2 linked regions of the Xenopus tropicalis genome follow. The protein of the gene in region 2 binds, or shares a complex with, the protein of the main gene of each other region. Links are inferred from orthologs where the notes say so. Each region holds a gene or a part of one and is shown on either strand. Other genes may lie near its edges. The genes, in order: chek1 and clspn.

What was found.
Region 1: the proteins of clspn (region 2) and chek1 are in contact, whole or in part, in a crystal structure (PDB 7AKO), measured with the Homo sapiens proteins. The link is inferred for Xenopus tropicalis from reciprocal best matches to the Homo sapiens genes CLSPN and CHEK1. Residues at the interface, in NP_071394.2 of Homo sapiens: Glu938, Leu940, Leu941, Leu943, Cys944, Ser945, Gly946; in NP_001107593.1 of Homo sapiens: Lys53, Lys54, Cys57, Met61, Arg129, Thr153, Val154, Phe155, Arg156, Tyr157, Asn158, Arg160, Glu161, Arg162.

Annotation. Positions count from the first base shown.
Region 1 is NC_030683.2:74,045,613-74,049,442, forward strand, and holds part of chek1 (serine/threonine-protein kinase Chk1), read right to left. Parts: intron 3,648-3,830; coding exon 3,516-3,647; intron 506-3,515; coding exon 404-505; intron 1-403. UniProt on the Homo sapiens protein: Serine/threonine-protein kinase which is required for checkpoint-mediated cell cycle arrest and activation of DNA repair in response to the presence of DNA damage or unreplicated DNA.
Region 2 is NC_030678.2:81,812,626-81,816,455, reverse strand, and holds part of clspn (claspin), read left to right. Parts: intron 1-1,131; coding exon 1,132-1,204; intron 1,205-1,739; coding exon 1,740-1,840; intron 1,841-3,246; coding exon 3,247-3,408; intron 3,409-3,830.

The sequences.
Region 1 (3,830 bases), on a different chromosome or scaffold from region 2:
ACTAAATAAGAACCTATTTACCTGTAAGTAATAGATAAGATAATCAAACTTTTAGTAGATTTTTATAAAAGGATAAGAACAGTAAGGATCATTGGGGGTGTTAAGATGTTAGGCACCCCCCTTTACTGCTAAAGGTGGCCAATGTTATTAATACATGAACATAAATATAAAAACCAATGACTGCAATACATAGTGCATTCTAGCAGCAATGGCTGCACTGAAAGTTAATACACAGTCAAAACTGCATGTGTAAGATTTTAATTGCATGTCGCAGAACAGAGAAATCTACTGTGATGGTAGTCAGTTACTTGCGAGCCACAGGCAGACAAGGGGTCGACTATAAACACACTTTTAGATAGCTGGCAGCGTAGCAGTAACAGAAAACCCAAAGCATTCAATATACCTTAGAAAGTCTAAAATCTAACAGAATCCTGTCTTCCATTTCCACAAGGTTCACCTTGAATATTAATTTATTATTTCTTCTGTCAGTAGTTGATAGGGTGACCTGTAGTAGACAAAAACAAAGTACCTAATTATACAGATGCAGTTTTTTTCTTGAAAAACAAGTATACTAATAATGCTTGTATTAACTTACTTCATAATGTAATTGTATTAACAAACAATTAGACTACATATTATAACAGTCCTTTAAACAAAAAAATTATCGCATAAGCAACCAATATTCTTTTCTTCCAGTTTACAGCACATGCTCTCATCTGCTGTCAGTTACCCTCTGTACAGTTAGGGGCTGTTATGGCACATAATACGCTGTCAGGGAGCCAGGTTTGCAAAAGCTGAGTTGGCAGGCGAGAAAATTCATATACATTTTTTTCATTTTGGGGTCTCTACATAATGCATACTTTGAAGCACCATATGCATAGATATACCAAACCAACAATTCCTATTTTCCTAATCAAATTAGGAATTGTTGGTTTGTTAAACAGGTAGCGTAAACTAAAGAAAATTGATTTAATTCTCTAGCACATAATTATTTATTCATTGCTCTGTGTATGTACAGGTATATGCAAAATATGTGTTTGCACTTGCACAGTATGTATGTGAAATGTAATGTTTCTTTTTGGGTGGGCCTTTAATTTGCAATTTTGTCTCATTTGTATACTCCGTATGCAAATGTGATAACAAAGCTGGAGACCTCTGGCATTCATATTTGGGGTAAACTGCTTTTGTATGTAAGAAACTGTGTAAGATAAATGCGTCATATTGCAACATTTTTAGACAGATTGGTACTTTGGTAAAGACGCCTTTTTACACCAATGTTGAAACTGTCAAAATGTGTACTTTCCAAAAACATATTGTTTTCCGTAAGCTTCTGTACAGTTAGGGGGTCTTTCATATATACAATATGCAGTCATGGGGCTCGTTTTGCAGAAATTAATTTTGGCAGACGAGAAAACTTCATTTGGCAGACGAGAAAACGTCATATGCTTTATATTTAATTTGGGGTTTGTACATTTCACATACTTTGGTATATCTATGAATATTGGGCATAAAACTGTTCAGTAGACTTCTGGTGTTCATATTTGGGGTGATTTGCCTTTGTATGTAAAAAAAAACTGCAAGATAAATGAGGCTAATTGCAAGATTTTTAGGCGATTTTTAAAAATGCTTTCAGAACCGCTAACCTTACAAAATTTGCGCTGTTTCTAAAATATATGGCTTTCAGAGGTCACCCTACTTTTTTGCAGTTTGTACCACACATAAAACTGCCAGTGTGTTTATGGATTAGGTGAATGGAAGTCATGAAATTAGTGCGCATAAGGTATATTTTGGGGTTCCTGAGGGCCATGTGCTTTGATAAACCTATGTACAGTGAGCATCAAACTGTTCTGTAGACCTCTAGGGTACCTAATGACCTGTAGGAGATAATATGCTGGAAGTTTTGAGGTGATTTTTAGAAAGTTCATCAAAATCAAGACGTTTAGGAAAGAACTTTTTTCTAGGTTTACCCCACTTAAAATGCTGTCAATGTGTTGATTTTGCAGTAACATGACAGATAATATGGCAAATAGAATCAGTTAACATGCGCTTACACAGTGAAAATAGCTTTTTGTAGCCCCAGGTGCACGCTGTACCCACTGCCCGGGCAAATAAGTACAAAAATGATGAAAACAGCAGCACTCCGGTTGTTTTGAAAAAATTTGAAACTTTACAGTGCCAAAAGCAACATTTCAGGCTTCAATCCAGCCCTTTATCAAGCCTCTCATCTCATCACCATTTATGGGCCTCTAAATGCCACATACTTGGGTAAACCTATACACATCTGGTATCTGGTAACTGTTCAGTAAACCCGTGGTGTTCATAGGAATAACAAAAAGAAAAAAAAAACCCATAGACCTTTGTGTTGAATACAACAATAGGCAGAAACTATGTTCAGCACAAGCCCTATTCATAGATGCTGAAAAGGAGGTAAACTGCCCCTTTATATGTACTGATTTTTGGATAGTATTTCTGGACAGTATCCAGTGACTGCTGTCTGATAAAAAAATGTGCCATGTTCCTAATTTGCCATTTATGATTTAAAGAAAATTAGTAAGCTCCACCAATTATACTACAGCTATGGGATCGCTTATCCAGAAACCATTTATCCAGAAAGTTCATCTCCCATAGACTCCATTATAAGCAAATAATTCTAATTTTTAAAAATGATTTCCTTTTTCTCTGTAATAATAAAACTGTACCATGTACTTGATATCAACTAAGATATAATTAATCCTTATTGAAGGCAAAACAATCCTATTGGGTTTATTCAATAAATGATTTTTAGCAGATTTAAGTTATAGAAATCCAAATTACAGAAAGATTCCTTATCTGGAAAACCCCATATCCCGAGCATTCTGGAAAACAGGTCCCATACCTGTACCTAAATTGTTATTCTGACTATTTTCCCTGGCCTCACTCCAGCCAAAAATGTAAACACCCTGAGGTTTCAGTTTCAACAATTGCTGCTTGTGTTGAAAAGCCAAAGATCTTAAGGGTCTATATTACTTGTACAAGAACTATTACCCCAAAATATACCTCAGAGCCAAAAGGCATTGTTAAAATGGCAACAGAAATGTAAAAATTTCAAACATTAAAAAGCACACCTTTACGTTTCGTTTACTGCTTTTTTGAAGAGCAAGTTTCAAAGACCTTTAAATCTTTTCAGACTACTAGAATTGGCCTATCATTATTGCTTTTACATATCAACTTTTATTGAAAAATTAAATTTTACAGTAATAGCTTAGAGATTGATTAAGATCACCTTTGATCCTTCAATCGTCAAGACAAAAACAGTCTGCAAGGTGTATGTACATTTTTGACCCATAGGAAATAAGATTGTTTTCTAAAAACAAGGATAGAAGAAACTAATGTACACTTTTTACTTTTATAGTTTTTTTGTGTTTACAATAAATAGTATTTTTGTTTGTTTTATATGCTTTTTCTTGTTTACTGGGGTTTTGGAAAATGTAAGCCTAAAATCATATGATTAGAAGCTTTATTGAGGGGGTACTCACCTGGTTAGCACAAGACTTCTTTAAAACATATCCCATTTTTTCACAAGTGTCCATCAAATTGCTGTACGAGCTTTCAGCATCCACTTTTGTAAAGAACCTGGTCATTCTTTTGACCAAACGTTGCCAAACATTCTACAGAATTAAGAAAAAAAACTAGGTTGGCAAAAATTGAATAGCACAGGCCATGTTAAAACTGCTAACCATGTAAAGTTGAAACAAATAGCACATGCAAACATCTATTTTCCAGGGCTGTGGAGTCGGTAGATAAATTCTCCGACTCCGACTCCTCAGTTTCTGATACTTCCGACTCCATGA
Region 2 (3,830 bases):
TAGAGTGCAGGAGCAACCAATGAATTGGTCCAATATGAAATAAGTAAGGGCAAAGCCTGGACATGATGTAAGCATATAGGAAGTTCTCAATGTGGCAGGTTCAAAATAGGCCACTCCCATCCCTTCAGAAAATTGATTAGAGAGACAGAAGGACTGATTTAAAGGGGTGGTTCACCTTTAAGTTAACTTTTAGTATATTACAGAATGACCAATTCTAAGCCACTTTTCAATTGGTCTTCATTATTTATTTGTTTTTATTTATAGTTTTTGAATTATTTTCCTTCTTCAAACTCTTTGCAGTTTTTAAATGGGGGTCATGGACTCCAGCATCCAAATAACTATTGCTCTGTGAGGCTACAGTTTTATTGTGGTTACTTTTTGTAACTTTCTTTTTTTATTCACGCCCTCTCCTATTCATATAACTTGGTAACTTGGACCCTAGCAATCAAATAGCTGCTGAAAATCCAAACTGTGGAGAGCTCCTAAACTGAAAATGAAATAACTAGAAAACTACAAATATAAAATGAAGACCAATTGCAAATAACTCTCTACGTCATAGTAAAAGTTAACTCAAAGGTGACCACCTCTTTAACAGGTAAGAAAAGCATTGTTGGTGGTTTAGTAAAATTTAGACCCTGAAGGTGAACAACCCCTTTAATCTCTCTCATGTACCTGGCTAGCAAGGCTTTCTGAGCCCTCCTATCTTTCTTTGGGTTCTGACAGAGATCTGACCAATACATACATTCAGACATTTTGGCACAAGCAATCCTTTCCTCTGGCTGTCAGTACAGCACTAAAATCACAAGTGGTAGAGACACTGCCTGCAAAAGCCAATAAAAGTTTACTTTCAAAATGGTTTGAAATAAAAAAAAAAAACACACCCTTTGTGCAGGTTTACGTTAATTTTGTGTGTTTCCTTACAATTAAATTGCTTTACTTCTTTTGTCCTAATTATTGATAAAATTCCCAGGCAATCAACTCTGGCCAAAGTGTCAAAAATGAATTTGGATTCTTAAAAAATATCATCAGCATTTGGGGGGAAAAAGGTTTCTTGACATGTTTAACCTTATAACTCCTTGCCTGCCTACTTTTTCCTTGTTATAACCTATACTCCTCCATGCTGCTTTTCAGAGAACAAGAAGAAGGGGAGGAAGAAGAATTTGGTGAATTCAAGCTATTACCCTGTGATTCAGAGAGTGACAATGTGAGTTTCTTTATGAACAGAAAATTAGTGTACATTTAAACCAAAATCTTTTGTATCTTATCCAGTGGTGTATGTTGCCCACAGCTGCAATTAAATAGCATTTTAGCCACTTTGCTTACTGGCCAACTCCCAACCTAAAGGCATGTCACCAGAATGTCTGAAATTGCTTTTAAACTGCCAGTCGACAATTTTTTGGCAGTAAGGACTGCATGGTGGTGCTGACATTTTCAGGTTACTGCCATTGCTTGCAGTGACCTTTAAGGTCTTTGTTGGGCAAAACACTTGTGTGATATAGGCCAATGGAAACGTATAGCACAAGATGATAAAAATGCCTGTTACAGGTTTTGTGTACAATTTTAAAAAGACAGTAGTTATATAAATCAATTGAAACTTTTTGATACTCTTAACCTGCTTAAAGTGTTAATATATAAAAGCTGACTTTTGTCAGCTTTTTTGTTAAGGTGTAGCTAGATATTGACACTCTGCAATAACCTTTTAGAACTTGTGGTATTTAATGCAACTTGTTACAACATAGGATGAAAATAATGAAGAGGAGGAAGGAGAAAAGGATAATGAAGATAATGAATATGAGGAAGATGAGGATGAAATTCTGCAGCAACAGCAAAAGAGAAAATTGTAAGTAAATATTGTTATAGTGAATGGTAACTTGGTTATGAATGGCACAACAGTACCTCCTGTTTTGGTTATGATGGTAATAATGAGCATCTAATTTTTTAGCAGGTTTTCGTTTATTCAAAAGGGCTAATTCCAATTTCTGAAATATGCTAAACTCTAAGGGGCAGATTTTTTAGAATGAGTTAAGAGCTCAATACATAAAAACTCAAGTACTTTCTATTCATTCCTAAGGATTTTTAGAGGCTTATTTATGAATAGGTAAAAGTAAGAATTTGACCATTGATAAATACGCTTCTTAAAATGCCATAAGAATGAATAGAACTTAGGTGCGTTTTTTATGTATTAAGCTCTAAACTCACATTTTGATAAATCTGCCCCTAAAGGTTCTGTTAAAAGCATAACTCTTTACAAGGGCATTTGATTTTTAGAAACTTGCATTATGTGGTGGTGTTAAAGCGGCCATGTTTTGCCCACCATTGAATCAGGCACCTAAAGTTTCTTATTAGGCTAGTTAGGGTTCTATTCCTAGAACCCCAAACCTCACCCTATATTCTTATTGAAATAGTGGCTATATGAGCATCTTAAAGAGAAAAAAAAATCTCATTAATTGTCCTGCAGGTGAAGACACTTCCAGTAACTGCTTAGGAGAAGTTTGGAAAATTATACTAACACATTTCCTGTCATTACCTCCACTACTTACCTGTATCAGAGCAATTAATGTGCACATGTCTGATTGGGCTGGGCAGTGCATAGATCTGATAGACTGGAGGTCAATGAAAACAGTATCTTTAGCCTGTTGGTGCATCTGCTTAAATTTGCACTGTCATGCAAAATTGTTTTTAAGATCCAATTCGGACTGAGACAAGCCCAGAGAAACTCTGCTTTTGCTTTTCTTGCTTCGGAAGGGTAAGCATTAAGTTGCAATTTAACAGCTGACAGACCTGCAACACTTAAGATGTGTATTGCTTTCCCCTCTTTAGGTTAATGCCACACAAAGCGTATGGTGCATATTATGGGGAGTATACGCCCCATACGCTTAAAGATCCCCCTACCTGTGCCTGCACCCAAATTTATTGAATACGCTCGGGTGCAGGCACATGTAGCCGATATCCGACTAAATACATGAGAAAATCAGGCACATGTAGCCGATATCCGACTAAATACATGAGAAAATCAGGCACTGCCACATCTATTGATGCATGGGAAACCTGAAGGTGCTGCCATTTCTGACCAGGCATTAGCTACAGGGTTCCCTCAGCTTCCCAAGAAAAGAAAAAAAAAAAGCTGTCTTCATTGCATTTAGTATATGTTAATATGTTGTATAATTAGGGGTCAGTGTTGTAGGTCTTGTATTGTCCAGTGCTGCAGAACTTTGATATATTTTGTAAATTTGGTCTGTGTTCCAGGCGGCTGAAGGACTTCATGGAAGATGAAGCAGAATTGTCGGGAAGTGATGTAGGTAGTGGAGATGAGTATGAAGGAGATGATGATGAATATGAGGAAGAAGCCATAGATGAAGATCTCCCATCTGATGAGGAACTGCAGGATCAAGTCAATAAAATTCATATGTAGGTGCTTACAGTTAAATTGTTATATACAAAGCCTTGCAAACAGTTTAAATTGTTCTTACATGCAAGCAATTTGAATAATTAAACTAGTCAAATTGGTGTTACCCTGCTTACAAATACATGATTTGGGCTTTTATAATAAAAAAAAGGGACATAAACATTATCTGCACTTGGAAAATTAAATAAACATTTTATCTTTTTTACACAGACCATGATACTCATACAGTCAATTTTTATTCCTCATTTATGTGCAGTGTCATGCAATCCCTTCCCTAACTTTTTCCACTATGAGGTAATGGATCACTAGATCTTAATCCCCCCTAGATTCCAGTGAATCTGTGTACCAACTACTATATAAAGGAAGGAGGGGGATACATTTTACTGTGACCCAAAGTGGAGGTGGGAGTATTATAGTCTGTGGA